Linked DNA regions of Drosophila melanogaster. The protein of the gene in region 2 interacts with the protein of the main gene of each other region in a pairwise test. Each region holds a gene or a part of one and is shown on either strand. Other genes may lie near its edges.

Region 1 (3,594 bases), on a different chromosome or scaffold from region 2:
CTAGAGTATTTTTCGCACACTTTTTTTGGGCGGCGAAGATATATACCAAGGTTGTTGGAACGAGACGGGGAGACTGGGAACGTGGAATGGAGCACAGGCGCGTAAAAAATACCCAAGCCGCAGACAGTGCAATAACAACAAGCGGGAGAACGCAGTAGGGTTGGAGAATTGGGTGGGGGGGGGGGGGGGGGGCGAAGAGACATGAACAGAAGACCCAAGGCAGAGGTCCAAAAAACAGAAACAGAACCAGATGGAAAATGGAATGGAATCGAAGCACAGTTAAAGGAATTTTGCTGTATACGTTAATGTGTGCTTGTTTTTGTGTCTGGGCACACACTCATAAACAATGATGAACGGGGTGAATGGACGCAAGGTGACGTCGCAACGCGGTCGAAGCCGCTGCTTCTGCACATTGGGTTGGCGAATTTGGCGCCGACAACATTCCCCTTCTAAAATCGCGCTTTTGAATTTTCCACCTTAGGGTTAAACCATAAATTTCTAAGTTGCAAGTCCACATAAATTATCTTTTAATCGAAATAATTTACATTTCACTTTTCTCCAAATCTTTCTAAATGTAAATAAAATTTAAACAGTGACCAGTTGTGTAGAAAACGTCAAACTATCTCGTTTTTGCGAAGTGTTCCCCATCAAGCGCCACAATGGGCGTGGCACTTGGCGGAGAGTGAGAATTGAGGCATAATAAAAGAAGGAGGAGGGAACGAAGAAATCATCGAGAGAAGTTTTGGTTCAATTCAGTTCGTTTCGATTCATTCTCGTCTACTGGCGTCTTTCTGTGCCTCTTCGGTTATTTGTTTATGGCTGTTTTGCTTTGATCCCCTTATTCTGTCTGGGGGCACAATCGTCTTGTTTTTGCGCTTATTGCTATTGCTCTACACTTTCCCGCTATTTGGCTACTCCACGTCTGGACTCTTGACTATTAAACCCAGCTAAAAGAAGTGCTAGGCAGATATTTTAGAAATCGAGGGATTAAATTAAATTTTGCATTTACTTGCATTTTATTGAAATTTTCTTGCATTTTTTATTCACATTCCCTCCATCCTTTCCCATTTTATTGAGTGCAGTGTCGTTGATATGTGTAGATATGTATATATGTAAAATATGAAGATATTCCACAATTATTCAAGTATTTTCATAACTTTTCCCCGTCAATTTTCGGAAACTCCGCTAGGAAACTAGGTACAACATAGTCCATTATCCGATTCAGAATCCGACTCATATTCGTCAGCCGAATCCGTGGGACAAAAGCCTGATAAGGTCGATTGTAGTTCAGTATAAAAGTAGCTCTTCTCGTCCTCTGTGACTTCCATTTCTATATCTCTGTAGCGCCTAGGTGAACCGAAGTTTTGGAGGTGCATGGCTCTATTCACGAGAACCTTTAAATGGATCTCCTCATGCTCCTGACAGACCCTAAGTTGTTTGTATTCCTGCTTGTCTCTATAAGTCTTGCACTTCTTGAACATCAGTCGATTGGACTTTGCCTTGAGCTCTTTTATAATCCTGTTCTGCGCATCAATAGCGTTGACCACCTCCTGATACTCCTTGTACATTGCCTGTTGCTCTTCATCGTCTTCATCGCTCTCATTGAGGAGCTCAAAGGGATCCTTCTCCTCCACCTCGAACTTATCTTCCTCTTCAACGTCCTGTTCGTCTCCTTCGCCCTCTCCCTCAAAATCTTCAGCAGCTTCTTGTCCTTCATTTTGCTCATTATCAACGTCTCCAGAGGCTTCTTGCTCCACATCAGACATTGCTTCGGATGTTAGGGATAAATTGTATTAAGCGATGCAGGGGTATTAGTTTACATAATTATGAAATACTTTAATAAACCAAATTTTGATATATAAATCAAATACAAATTGTTGTAGTAGATTTATCATGTGATCGACAAACGTAAACATAAAACTCCACACCTTAGAGCCAGTAAAATCTCAGTTTACTGCACACAACAACTACTTTTATTATTTCAGTTCGCCATTTTTTTTAGCACTTCAATAACTTCCGTTTCCGTTTCCCTCGTTATTAGATCTTTTCATATACGATTTATTGTTCTTCTGCCATCATGATAGCTGTTGCGCCGTTAACTTCATTCCTTCTACAATCTCATCTCTCTTATTTCACGCTTTTATTGACTCAGTGATTTCTTGTGGCTGGATCCGGTGGATTACGTTTCAAAGCGCACCACTCGACGGCATGCGTTCGCATTAATTATAGAAACTACAGAATGCATTTTAATTTGGCATAATGTTTATCTCGCAGCAGGGTCGTTTCATCGTACTACCGGTAGTTAAGACGTGAATTCTAACAGATTACAACCTGTAAGCCAGGAAAGAAAGGGTATGTATTTGATAACTGGCCCAGCGACACAAGTTGCTGTTTTAATATCAAACTGGTGCATTGAATGGCATAATAGGAATGCACAATATGTACGCAAAATGTACCTGCAAAGTTGTGTGCAATGAAAGACAAAAATGTAGAGAACAATGTTTAGCAAAGAAATTGAATATGTCGATATAGGGATATACAAATTTAAATTTATTTATTTATTTAATTTAATTTATTTGAATTTACTTAATTAAATAATAAGCACCTTGTTTGGTCCAAGCTTAAGCTTTTATCCTTGATGTTTTCTTGATTACGTCCCTGTTTAATTTTTGGCGTAATTACCAATTGCTTGCGAGTCCCTGAAAGCGACAGTTGCATTAGAAGCGAACACCCATAGCCAGAGCCTATGGGTTTTATCGTCCGTATCAAGGTGGCTTTTCGATTAGCTCCCCATTCAGATTACGCATACGTCACTTAAGCTCAAAAAGACTGCGCCGCCCATTTTAAATCAAATAACGGGCAATTTAATTTACAAAGTTGAAAGCAAGCATAGGCCACCCCCTTTAAGTCTCATACATATTTTGATTTTTATTGGGACATTTTATTCTTTTTTTTTTTTTTTTTTTTTTGATTCCTTTCAGACCATGCAAGTTGCATCAAGTTTTTCTTCCGCTCAGACTTTTGTTTTCCTTTGTCTTGCATCTTTTTTGTGCTATTGTTACAACGGAATGGGGACTGTTTTTTTGTTTATGCCTCTACTGAATAAAATGGTTTCATTAAAAAAGTTTTAAACTTTTTCATTTAATTTAACTGCAGCAAACAACAAGCATCCTTCATCATGAAGCCTTTCTCCTTCTGCGCTTTTCTTTGCCCACTCTCTTGCCATTTTTCACTGCAACTATTTTGTAGAGAGCATCTGTTTCAGATATAGAGATCCTTAGCATGCTTTGATTGTTTTTTTTTTTTTTTTGAATGAGTTTCAATTAAACTTTTCTATTTCCATTTATTGTGCATTTTCCTTCCGCAGCGTATGCTGTCGCAGTTTGTTTCAGTGAGTTGCCACCCCGATTATCACCTGAGTGAGAGGTATCTTGTAGTCGAGGCACTCTACTCTCTCTGTCCTGGTAAACTTTTATTTTAAAATGGCCTCTTAAACGTATTGTCAACTCAGTATATTATTTCGTCGCTTGATTTCCTTTTTTGTTATTATTTTAATCATTCCCATTCACAGAGCATAATTTAAAAGGGGACGTA
Region 2 (8,598 bases):
CCCGCACATAGAAAATATCGTATGATCCGAGCTTTCAGATTTTGCGCGAGATAGCATCTACCTTTATTTTTGGCAAGCTGCTATATAATAAAGTGGGCTTGGAACCGGTTTACCGACTGCTACCTACTATGCTATGGTACCGTCGCGAAATTACATCGGTTAATTGAATCAAAAATATATATCCTTTGTTTCCCAGCCTTTTATTTGCCGCACAAAAGGGATTCGGTATATTCGCGATACGCAGAACCGCGCCAGTCGACCGTTCGCAGTCGAATAAGAGCGGCGACGACGCTCGACGCTTAATTAAATGCCAATTAACGTGTGACAATAAGTATATGTGCGGCCCATGGATGTGCGAACGTGTACGAAGACCAAGATCGGCATCGCCATCGGCGGCAGCACGACGGACGATAACGAAAGCTACAGCCGCCGCCACAGATACAGATGCAGATGCCATGCCGCTGTTATCAGCGCGAGCGGGAGAATGATAAGGGATGGGATCGCTCAGCGCGGCAGGCAAGACGACCAAAAAGAGAGCCAACTAAATGATGTGCCTAAGACTAAGAGTTTAATGAGCATTACTGTCGCGCACTCTATGTATTATGAATAAAATTCATACAACTTTTGTGGTTTATTATAATATAAAAGTGTGTCAGCTCTACTCGGGGGAAAGTAAGTTTACTTCTTGGCCGCTGGCTTCTTGGCGGCGACCTTCTTCTTGCGGGCGGCCAGCAGCTTGGCGCGATTGGCCGCAGCCTTGGTGGCCACATTGGCGAAGTGCGACTTGGCCAGCTCGACGTTCTGCTTCTTGGCCTTGGCCAGCACCTTGGCCACGGTGCGCTTCTCGGCGGCGAGGGCGGCACGACGCTTGAGGACCTCGGCATAGGGGTTAAGCTTGATCAGCTGGCGCACGTTGGTCAGGGGGTTCAGGCGGCGCACGCTGCGGAACACACGCTTGCGGGGATCGCGCAACACCTTGCGGATCTCCTCAGACTTGAGCAGACGCGACAGATCGGTGTTGGCCATCTTGGGCTGGGGCAGGTTGTAGCCCTTCTTCAAGGTGGACGGCTTCTTCCAGGTGCCGAACAGATCGTTCAGGCGGGCGAAAGCCGACTCGGTCCAGATGACAAAGCGACCGACATGACCGCCGGGGGCCAGCTTCAGCAGATTGAGCTTGTCCACGTTGATGGTCTCAATGCCGGGGATGTTGCGGAAGGCCTTGCGCAGACCCTCGTCCTTGTCGTAGACCACCAGGGGACCACGGCGAGCGATGCGGCGACGGTCGCGCATGGTACCACGGCCAGCACGGAAGCGCTGCGACTTGTACACCTGCGAAATGAATGAGAAACAAGTTGATAGTGAGTATGTATATTCCAGGAATTCGGAAATAGAGAACATGAATACAACAGCTGTTGCTCTTCCGTTACCACGATGGAAGCCGTGAATCAAGTTTCAATCGTAACGCCAAGAAGAGCATTTTATCTGGCAACGCAGGAGATCCCTGCAAGCATCGGACAACCAGAAGAGTAGCCAGTTGCTTGCACGCTGCCAAGTAAGATTTAGAAAGCATCCGAAAAGTAGGAATCCAATAAAAAGTTATAACTTTGCAATTAAAACATCACAACTTCACGTTTTGTTAAATAAATACGTTGAAGTTGAATAGACGCACAGTTAAGTGACCTAACATTCTTCGGATTAAGTTCTTCATAGGTGTACAAAGTTACCCACCTTCTGGATGTCAGCCCAGATCTTCAGGCGACGCAGGAAGATGACAGCCTGCTTGGTCTTCTGGACCTTTTGCACCTCATCGGACACGACCAGCGGGAACTCGGAGACGCCGTCGATGACATGTCCCTTGGACTGGACCAGAGCTGGCACTCCTGAGGCGGCGATGGCCGACACCAGGGCGTAGCGACGCTGGTTGACATTCACCTTGCGGTGCCAGCGACGGAACGTCTTGGTGGGGGCGAACATGCGTCCACCACGGCACATGTTGCCGAAGGCTCCCTGGCCGGAACGGTGGGTACCGCCACCACGCACACGGGGAATACGGGCCACAGCACGTCCGGTACCCCAGGACTCGGCGGAGGTCTGGTGACCTGCAAACAGGAATTCAAACGGGTTAGATTCACACAAAAGAGGAGTTATAAACAGTTTACTCACCAGCCAGCTCGCTGACGGCGTAGGCCTGTCGGTTGTTGCGGCGGAGCAGCTGGTGAACCTCGTTGACCACATCCGGACGAATGGGCGCCTTGAACACTGCCGGCAGGCATATGTTCTTGTCCTTGGCTGGCTCGTTCTTTTCCGTGTACACGGAGACCAATGGCCTGGCGTTGCCTAAGCTCTGAAAGTGCACATGGTATTCGGGTTTAGTTCACTGATCATTTCACATCACAAAACACAACAAGCGCATTTCGCCATCGCCGCACATTCCAAACACGTGGAGGTTAGGGCGACACTTTTGCACTATTTTCGCATCGTTTCGTGTGTTAAATCCAATGTTTTGGGGTCTGCTGCGGTTGCGGAGTGCCTTGTGCTTCGTTTCTCACCATTTTCGTTGATTTTCAAACCCAATGAAAGGTGCTAAATATTCTGCAAACGCAGATACCGTCCTCTTTTTATTAAGAAGAACGAAGAAAGAAAGAGAGCTGCCGGAAATGGCTGCCAATCGCGTTCCACGGCGCATGGTTGCATTTGCTAACAGCAGCAAGTGTCAAGCTTACAGGGCTAATTGGACGCTGTCCAACACTTTTAGCTTTTTTTTTCTCTCGTAAGAGAAGTTTTTGTTTATATTCTCGCAATTAAACTATAATATTACAAATCTAAATTCGAATTTATCAATAACGTATTTTAGTTAAATTTATAAATTAGCAATGCGTTTTTAAAGAACAAGAATACAATTGTTGTAATTTAACCGCATAATAAATAATCAAACAATACATAATACATACATACGTTAAAAACTAACTTACACAACTTTTATTGGTGAGAAAACAACGCTTATTTTTTGCTTAAATGTTCATGTTAAAACAAAAAAATTTACTAAATAGATATATGGCTATTAATTAACAGCATTCTGTTATCCGTTTATATAGCTATAAAGTAGCTAAATGTGCCACACTAGTGCGAAGCGGCAATTGTATTTGTTTACTTGCGGAAAAAACAGTCTCAAAACACAGAAATTAATAATAAATAATGGCTGGCGAAGTTATTGTGGATGCTCTGCCCTACATAGATCACGGCTATGACGATGTGGGCGTCCGGGAATCGGTAAATATACGGATATCCATGTTGCACGTTGAAACTGACTTTGAAATGGCATCTTCTTCTTCCAAAGGCTCTCGCCATGGTGGAGGAGGAATGCCGGCGCTATAGGCCCACAAAAAATTACCTTGACCATCTGCCACTGCCCGCCAGCTCGCCCTTTGAGACTCCGCTGATGGCCAACGAGTTCGAGCGCATCCAGAACCGCCTGCCCATGGAGACGCTCTCCATGAAGCGCTACGAACTGCCACCGCCGCCATCGGGCAAATTGTCGGAGGTGTCCGCCTGGCAGGAGGCCATTGAGAACTCGATGGCCCAGCTGGAGCACCAGTGGGTGCGCTCTCTCAACCTGGAGCTAATGCTCGACTACGGCACGGAGGCATGGAAGTCCTACCTGGAGGTCTTCACCGCCATGCAGGCGAAGGCGCAGCTCCAGCTGCAGCAGCTGAAGAAGGACATTCAAGATGTCAACTGGCAGCGCAAGCAGGCGCAAACGCAGGCCGGCGAGCGACTGCGCTCCCTGGAAGCCCATTGGGTGCTGCTGGTCTCCAAGAACTACGAGATCGAGACGGAGTGCGTCGAGCTGGAAAAGATCGTCCATGCCGCCCGTCAGCAGCTGCGGAAGATTACCCCGCCGCCCAGCGCCAATGACACGGCTCCAACGCCGGAATACACGAATGGTTTCGACCAGAACGATTTGGCCGAGAGCAACGGCAGTAGCTCCAGCAATCCAGATCCAAGCCAACCTGGCGATGATGGAACAGATGCCGATGGTGACAGCAAGGAGGAGGACAAATCCGAGGCACAGGAGGAATCTTCCAATGGATCAACGTAGATTTAGTACACTGAGCGAAAGCATGAAGCAAGTTAAAGAAAAACTTACGACTGTAACTAAATATAAAGGATATTAAAAAAAACAGCTAAAAATCTAAGATTTATCTTTATTTTTCAAAATCGTTGCAGAGAAATAGTGATCCTCTTCTTTTTGCTCTTATATCAGGGGAATGGACAGCTAGTAAATTTTAAATAATTTCAAGATTAAATATTTTATTATTTCAAATTGGTAAGGTAGTGTTTTGTGCTGTAAATTTTTTATACGAAGAATGGCATTTTTCAATGTTTCTGCTACGGTCACACCAATTGGATGTTTACAAATTTCGTTTACGAATTAAATAAAAAAAAATATAAATAAATACAGAAACAACTAAGGATGGCCCACTACAAAGGTGCCGCCAGCGAGGCGGGCCGTGCAGCCCAGCTGATGAAGAAGCGGGAGATCCAGCAGCAGGAGATCGAGTTTCGCAAGAAGAAGATCGAGGAGGAGCTCAAGCTGGACAAGATTGAGAACAAGTTTGCCACCCACTACGATGCCGTGGAGCAGCAGCTCAAGTCCTCGACCATTGGTCTGGTCACCCTCGACGAGATGAAGGCCAAGCAGGAGGATATAGTGCGGGAACGGGAGAAGAAGCTCGCCCAGAAGAAGGACGAAAAGGATCGGGAGAAGCAGCGCGCCCTGGAGGCCATTCAGGCGGAGAAGAACAAGCAGAAGCGGCAGATCCAGGCGCTGTCCTTCAACCTGGACGACGACGAGGAGGAGGAGGAGGAGGACGACGAGGATCACGATAAGAAACAGCTGAAGATTAAGCAGGAGGATCAGCCCAAGCCCAAGTGGACGGAGATCAAGGAAGACATTTTGCCCATAAAGAAGAAGAAGATATGCAAGAATCCTGACGTGGACACTTCCTTTCTGCCAGATCGCGAGCGCGAGGAGCAGGAGAACAGACTGCGCGAGCAGCTGCGTCAAGAATGGGTAATGCAGCAGGCGGAGCTGAAGGACGAGGACATCTCCATCACGTTCAGCTACTGGGATGGCTCCGGCCATCGGCGGAACGTGCTGATGAAGAAGGGCAACTCCATCTACCAGTTTCTGCAGAAGTGCCTGGAGCTGCTGCGCAAGGAGTTCATCGAACTGAAGACCGTAATGGCCGACCAGCTGATGTACGTCAAGGAGGATCTGATCCTGCCGCACCACTATTCCTTCTACGACTTTATCGTGACCAAGGCACGCGGCAAATCCGGCCCGCTCTTCCAGTTCGACGTCCACGACGATGTGCGCATGATAAGCGACGCCTCCGTGGAGAAGGAGGAGTCCCATGCCGGAAAGGTACTCCTCCGCTCCTGGTACGAGCGCAACAAGCACATCTTCCCAGCCAGCCGATGGGAGCCCTACGATCCCACCAAGTCCTACGACAAGTACACCATCAAGGACAAGGATAAGAGTAAAAAGTAGTGCTTAGGGCAGTTTCTGCCCGAATAATTGTACAATATAATAATGATTGATTTAATACATCAAAACAAACGAAAAATAACTACAATTTTTATTTGATTTTTCCACCAGATTTACAATCAGTTTAATTAAACTATTATAATAGGCATTGAATGAAATATAAAATATATAACAAATTTATGTTTGCTTAATACAATTTTGAATTCATTAGAAAATGTCATACTTCTCATAAGAATACCCCTAATTATTTAAAATGGCACTGTTAAGAGAACTTGTTGCTAAACAAATTTGGTAGAAATTTTAGTTTATAAACACAGTATAATCAGAGAACATGCAGTTATTCAGCACTTCGTATTGATTGCCATGAAAAAAGAACTGTTAGATTTATATTTTATTTTAATTTTTTAATATTCCAACTGTCATAATAGTCAAAAGAAGTCGGATATGGCGGGAAAAAAGCTAGCCCGCCAGCACCAATAGCAACATTGAATTTTTTGCGCCAGTAAAATTCGCGTCTTTTTATAAAAAGCAAGCGTAATTAATAACAAAAATAAAATAAGTTCCAAGTAAAATGTGAATTCATTTTTCGGATACGTATCGATTTAGTGCCATTTGAGAACCCCGAACCAACGAAATGTACCCGGCGCAACCGGCAAAGGTGGCGTTGGCCGGTCAACCGATATCCGCCGGAAAACCACCACGCCACAGCCCTGTTCAGATGAAGTCTATCCCTTTGCCCGTCTTCGAGCTGCCGGAATACGTGTGCGTGGAGACCAAGTGGGTGACACGCAAGTACGCGATAGAGAATGGCATTCCAGTGAAAGAACTGCATGCCCCGATCACCAATGGAGGCGCTACAGAGTCTCCCAAGAAATCCGTACAGCAGAAGAGACTCAACGAGGTCACTGGAATGTTTGCGAACGAGGCTATGGTGCCGCGCAGAGAGCGCGCCATTCAAACAGAGAATGCGGGCACTAAGGATGCGGGCATTCAATGCCGTCGCGATTCGGAGGAGTGGTATTTACCAGAGGAACGGCCAAAGGATACCGGTTCTGAGGCCTCCAATTCCGACAAATTTCTCACCTACGTGAGCGAGAACACATTCATATTTCCCAACGGCATGATGGAGTGCGCGGTGTGCGGCGATGTGGCCAAAACCTTGCTGGAGCACCAGAGCCACATGACCGCGCACTATGGACCTGGTGCTCTGTGCTTTCGCTGTGGTCAGCGTCTGGACCACCAGAAACAATTGAAGCAACACAGTCTGAGCTGTCCCGCTCTAGCGCCCAGGAAGTCATCGATGCTCTTTAAATGCCCACATCTACTCTGCAACGCCATGAGCCACTCAGAGATGCAGTTGCTCAGGCACCTGAGAAACCATAGCGGCAGGAAGTGCTACAGATGTCTTCAGTGCAAACGTTACTTCAAGACCACCACCTCTCTTTTGGTACACCGAAAAAAAGAACAGAGTTGTGCCAAGGCGAAAGTGGTCGTCCTATTTCGCGAACACAACGGGTTGCCCAATGGAAGAGGTGATCCCAGACGTTGCTCAGTTTGCTTGAAGCGTTTCAGCAGCGAGCGGGTATGCCTGCGGCACCGGAGACAGTGCATCCTTGGCCATTTTAGACGGCTGTCCAGGGTCCTCAAGAAGGAGCTATGAACAGCGTATAGAAATCTTGACCTAGCTGGTATTTATTAGTACATAGAAATCGATAACAATAAAGCGAATAGATCCTACGAAGCCTGGACGCCGTGAGCCTTTTTCAGTCCCTGGAACAGCATCAGTTTCTCCCGGTTAACTTCCTTAAGCGTCTGCACCGCCAGCTCCAGTTGCACCTTCTTCAGCGCATGTTCGCTGGCGATGTACTGCTCAATGAACTTCAGGCTGATCTCATCGGCGGCGAAATCGTGCTCCGTCTTGCCAATGGCCGTATGGATCTCCTGCTCAATGTTCTGCTTATTGTCATGTCGTCGGAAGACGCTTCTTAGCTCCGCCAGGGCACTTTCCGCCGGCGTGGCATGCAGTTTGCCCAGTTCGGTCAGCGTTGCCTGATACTCCACTGGGATGTTGTGTAGCTTGTAGCTCAGAGCAATCAGCTCCACGGCATTGTGCAGATAATCCCGACGGATCATGTCATACAGCAGGTCGTCGATGCAGCGGTGCCAAGCGTAGAAGAAGGCCATGGGTCCAAAGTGGCGGGTGGAGCGCAGAAGATCGAACTCCTTGGACTCGTTGAGATGCTCGAACACACGCGCTGAAATGTTGTGGAACTCCGGCTCATGTGGCTCGTACTGCACCAAGAGTCGATCCAGGATGAACTCGTACTTGTGCTCCGCCAAGCACTTGGCCAGCAGCTCCTCCAGCGCGAACATTCGTGGAGTATATGACTGGCGACCCTCCAGCGGGAAATACAACTGGTTCATGCGCTTCGTGGTATCAAGAGTGGCGTAGGCCAAGGTTCCGTCCATATCCCGGACGATTACCTTGCGTTCCGACTGCCGTCGGCCGAAGGTGATGTCCGTGAATACGAACTTGGAGTTGGCGAAGTCCTTCAGCGCCGTATCCTTGGCTATCACCCGCTCCACATCTTTTTTGATCTGCACAATGGGTGGCATTTGCAGAATTTGCTGAGCCCGCACCACCAAGTTCTGGAACTCGTTGTCCAGCTGCTCGTTGCTCATGAACTTCGTTTCGCTGCTGTTGTCCGGCACCGTGCGCTTCCGATACACCTTGTCCAAGTTCAGTTGCGTCATGGACTGGAGCAGCCGCTGGGTTTCGGCATCCGTGAAAAGCGGCTGCGGATCGCGCTCGTACTGCAGGGCGGCGGGCTTGGTGGGCGCCGAGGACACCTGCCGGATAGCTTGGCGCACTCCTTGGAGGCCATTCAGCTGGCGCAGGCTCCGCAGCAGGTGCATTTTCAGTCAGTAAATCAGGCACAAAAATACACGAGACGGGTGTAGAAATTAGTGAGGGCAGCACGGTGTTTTCCAACACTGCTTGCTAGTAATGACAACAGGAATCTTATTTAATTTAATGTGTTTATTCT
Region 3 (4,133 bases), 1.1 Mb from region 2:
GGAAACTGTCACGGCGTTGCCAGAGTGCTGTTGCTTTGTTTATACAGTACGTACTTGTTGAGCGAACAGTACAACCCGATAATAAACAAAGATTGACATTTTAAATGTTATAAATTAAAAACTTTGATTATGTCTCTCATGTATTAACCATACATACATATGGCTACAACCTTCTTCAGTTCAATTACCTTCTCTTTAATGAGTCAACATTTATAACTATGCATCCTTATCAATAGAAGTCTCAACAATCTAGTATAAGTAAACACAACTTTTTATCAAATTATTGTTTAATTAATAAGGGTGGGGTAGAGTCATGCCGTTTTAAAGAACCATGGATGCCCAATCGGTTGCATACTTTTTATAAAAACAACTTCTTATGCTATTTTGTATTAAAGGCATCCTAAAAATTGATTTCATAAACATTTTCTTTTTGGTTAGTAGACTTTAGTTGTTCGTAAAAACCATTTAAAAAATTAATGAATATTATGTGAGAAAATAAACCAAAAAAAAAACAATTCGAGCTGGTGAAGTTTCACTGTCTGTTGGTTTATGCGTTGCGTCCCTGGTCGTCAGCTGTTATTCGCCAACCGGCCGCGAAGATTGCGTCCGAAATTAGGATGCGGAGTTTCCAAAGATCGCACTGAGTCAACTTTTCCTGCCAACAATGTTCGTGCGGCTCTGGGTCCGCAGCTTCCATAAATATGATCTTCTCATCGCCATCGGACTGATCACTCTCATCGTGTACCTGTGTCTGCCCTTCCGGTTCGCATCGCACTACGACTACATCGAGGAATCAAAGATCGAGGGGGCTCTGGTGCCGCAGGTGACCAGAAATGTCTCCCAGCAGGAAGTTTTCGAATGCACCTACTCGGAGATCATTGCCGAAAACCGGTTCGTCTACCACCTGGCCCATTACCATGACGCGGTGCAGAGGGGCGCGGAGATCCGTCCTGGCGGCGAGTTCCGTCCGGAAGGATGTCAGGCTCGCTACAGCACCGCCATCATTGTGCCGTACAGGCAGCGGGAGGAGCAGCTGCACGCCTTCCTCACGTACATGCACAATTACCTGCCGCAGCAGCTGATCCACTATCGGATTTTCCTGGTCGAACAGTTCGATCATAAGCCGTTTAACAGGGCGATGCTCTTCAACATTGGCGCCCAGGTGGCTGCGGAGTATGGATTTCCCTGCCTCATCCTTCATGACGTGGACCTCCTGCCACTGAATTCGGGTCAAATATATGCCTGCTCCGAACGTCCACGGCACATGAGCTCTGCCCTGGATCACTGGCGATTCCGACTGCCTTACCGCGGTCTTTTCGGCGGCGTGGTGGCCATCAACACCGCCCAGTACCAGCAGATCAACGGCATGTCCAATCTGTATTACGGCTGGGGCGGAGAGGACGATGACCTCTACGAGCGCCTGCAGGCCCTGAATATCGACATTTGCCGATTCGCAATGGAGTTCAGTAAGTACACCATGCTGAAGCACAAACAGGAGCAGCCGAATGCCAATCGCGTGGCACTGCTGAGATCGGCGACTCTGCGCCAGCACGCGGATGGACTCAACTCACTGGTGTACACGGAAATGGAGCGGCGAATGCACAGTTTGTTCACGCACATCCTGGTTGATACCTGAGTGCCAGTATTTGTTATTGTATTTAGCTTGTAGGCCAATCGTTTTCGTAGTCGGTATCTCGAAGTGTTTTATACTTGGCTGCACTTCGCTTCGCAACCGATTAGTTACCGCCTTAGACAATGCGTTCCGAATCGATCGTGATATCTCACTCACTAGGCTAAGAAGCTAGACGGGAATGGAGGAGTCAAAGCTGTAATTGAAGTACAATGCAGAAGCCTCAGATTAAGCGGATATCGACATGTTAAGCACGCTCTGCCTCTGCCAATAAAAATGTATTGAATTTAATCTAATGGTTTGTTGATTAACTTTAAAAGCTCCAATCAGCAGGGTACATATATATCGACCAATTCGAAATCAAACTAATCATTATGACAATACCTTGACAATTGAACTTTGTTACCGCAGTCAATAATAATGGGTTTTCTTGCTGCATTGCTTAAAACCAGCCTGTTTTTGGTCCTATTCCTGGGGTCCTTGTTTCTGCTACCTGTCTTATATCCTAGCACCACTTTCCCCTTCGAACAGTATTTGTAAGTTGTTTTTCTTCAGTTGCTATCAAGCCATATAATCTATATACGTGCGTTTCCCAGTATAAAGCCAGCTAGAGATCTGAATGGAACGCTGGAGCTGAACAATCACTTAAATGGCGCCCGGAAGTTGTGGAAAGATCAAATATTTGGACCCGAGTGCCTCATAGTACTCGAGGACAAGATTTACACAGGAATTCACAGCGGCGAGGTTATTCGACTAAACAATGAGGAGTCGGTTCAACCTATCACAAAAATAGGGCAACCTTGTGGTAACAAAGGAGTAGGGGCAACTTGTATCCATAATGCCCTTGATATTCACCGTAGATTATATATTTGACGATGAGTTGTGCGGCTATCCAGTGGGTTTAGCCCTGGACACCCAGGGAAACAATCTTATTGTATCCGATGCATACTACGGCATATGGCAAGTCGACTTGGAAACGAAGAAGAAGACTGTGCTGGTGCCGGCGGAGCAGATCCTTCCTGGCAAGGGTGCAAACCGTCGGGCTAAGCTGTTCAATTCGCTGGTAATTAGCCGCCAGGGTGACATATTCTGGACGGATTCCTTTTCAGAGGACTTTGTCTTTGCTGCGTTCGCCAACCCGTCGGGTCGGTGAGTTCGAACTAAGGAGAGATCTACCATATAAGAAGGGTTTATTGGCTTTCCTCAGACTTTTCAGGTACGATCGCGTAAAGAAGACAAACGAGGTACTGCTCGATGAGTTGTCCTTTGCCAACGGCTTGGCCTTAAGTCCCAGTGAGGATTTCATTATCCTTGCCGAAACAACGGCCATGCGGCTGAGGAGATATTATCTCAAAGGATCAAGAGCCGGTGAAAGCGAAGTGTTTGTGGAGGGTTTGCCCGGCTGCCCGGATAACCTCACTGCGGATGAAGAGGGAATCTGGGTGCCCCTGTCTGTGGCTTCAGATAGTCAGAATCCCAATTTGTTCGCCGTGTTGGCGCCCTATCCGAGGCTTAGATCTTTTTTGGCTCGTTTGGTGGCTCTAATGCGACTTCCCCTTCGAGTTCTGAACCATATATATCCAAATGACATTGCGGCTCGTCTTTTTCACTCCTTTAACGATTTGGTCATCAGGAACGCTCCCAAGCGTAGCACTGTGGTGCGTGTGGATTGGAATGGAAACATTGTGAGATCCCTGCATGGGTTTGACAGATCAGCTTCGGGCATATCCCACGTGCTGGAAGTTAAGGGTCACTTATATCTGGGATCGCCTTTCAATCACTATGTTGCCAAAGTAAAATTGCCCGAAGAGGGATTGAAGTCCGTAAAAGGAAATTAAAGGGATTAGTAAAGTCAGTACTATGGATTCAATGTGATATTTACCATTATAATTTATTATTATTTGAATGCCACCTTATTTAAAGAACCTGTCAAGCATTGTTTTTAATTAGTTTATTGCACCATGAAACTATCAAATCACATTAATATTTTGTATTTTATTAATAAAATTAAAACTCAAGGAACAAACCTTTATTTTGAATAAACAAAAATACATGACGTTAAAATAAAAGATAAATAAAACTATATATGTCTGTACAATTTCGTGTCTTAGTAATTGGATTTGCGTAGAATTACAATAAGAACTCATGCGTGAAAGTGAATTAAATATGCTTTGTAAAAAATACGTCAGAACATAGTTAGTTGGCTATTTTGTCTAGCTAATGTACTATTATATTTAACTACATGCGGTCGTTTCGTTTCACATTTGATATCGATTGCGGAATGTGGCAACGAGCAAGGGCTCAAAAGCCTTGCGTTTAAGTCTACATAATATAATTTAAAACATTACTAACAAACACGCACACATTAAGACTGACACACTCATACACTTGCACAGATTAGATTTTATGTATAAATATATGTGTCAGCGTCCAATGTATCAACACAAGTTCTAATCGAAAAAGGTAATCGAGTGATATTGCCAGCAAAAATGGTAATACCAAT

Evidence for each region. The genes of interacting proteins can lie anywhere in the genome.
Region 1: the proteins of RpL4 (region 2) and CG13405 interact in a two-hybrid assay, tested with the Drosophila melanogaster proteins (one large-scale study listed by BioGRID).
Region 3: the proteins of RpL4 (region 2) and Ssl2 interact in a two-hybrid assay, tested with the Drosophila melanogaster proteins (one large-scale study listed by BioGRID).

The regions. Positions count from the first base shown.
Region 1 is NT_037436.4:73,445-77,038, forward strand, and holds CG13405 (uncharacterized protein), read right to left. Parts: upstream 1,889-3,594; 5' UTR 1,767-1,888; coding exon 1,194-1,766; 3' UTR 1,010-1,193; intron 948-1,009; 3' UTR 501-947; downstream 1-500.
Region 2 is NT_033777.3:27,916,871-27,925,468, reverse strand, and holds RpL4 (ribosomal protein L4), read right to left. Parts: upstream 2,649-8,598; 5' UTR 2,553-2,648; coding exon 2,550-2,552; intron 2,345-2,549; coding exon 2,164-2,344; intron 2,100-2,163; coding exon 1,729-2,099; intron 1,555-1,728; exon of another isoform or gene 1,408-1,554; intron 1,330-1,407; coding exon 679-1,329; 3' UTR 581-678; downstream 1-580. Other genes in the region: BCAS2, read left to right, coding at 3,196-3,270, 3,338-4,099; CG12259 (uncharacterized protein), read left to right, coding at 4,475-5,554; Boh1 (buddy of Hmr 1), read left to right, coding at 6,186-7,211; mRpS22 (mitochondrial ribosomal protein S22), read right to left, coding at 7,286-8,467.
Region 3 is NT_033777.3:29,030,451-29,034,583, reverse strand, and holds Ssl2 (strictosidine synthase-like 2), read left to right. Parts: upstream 1-1,941; 5' UTR 1,942-2,050; coding exon 2,051-2,166; exon of another isoform or gene 2,167-2,226; coding exon 2,227-2,435; exon of another isoform or gene 2,436-2,490; coding exon 2,491-2,779; exon of another isoform or gene 2,780-2,837; coding exon 2,838-3,468; 3' UTR 3,469-3,633; downstream 3,634-4,133. Other genes in the region: beta4GalNAcTB (beta1,4-N-acetylgalactosaminyltransferase B), read left to right, coding at 665-1,636.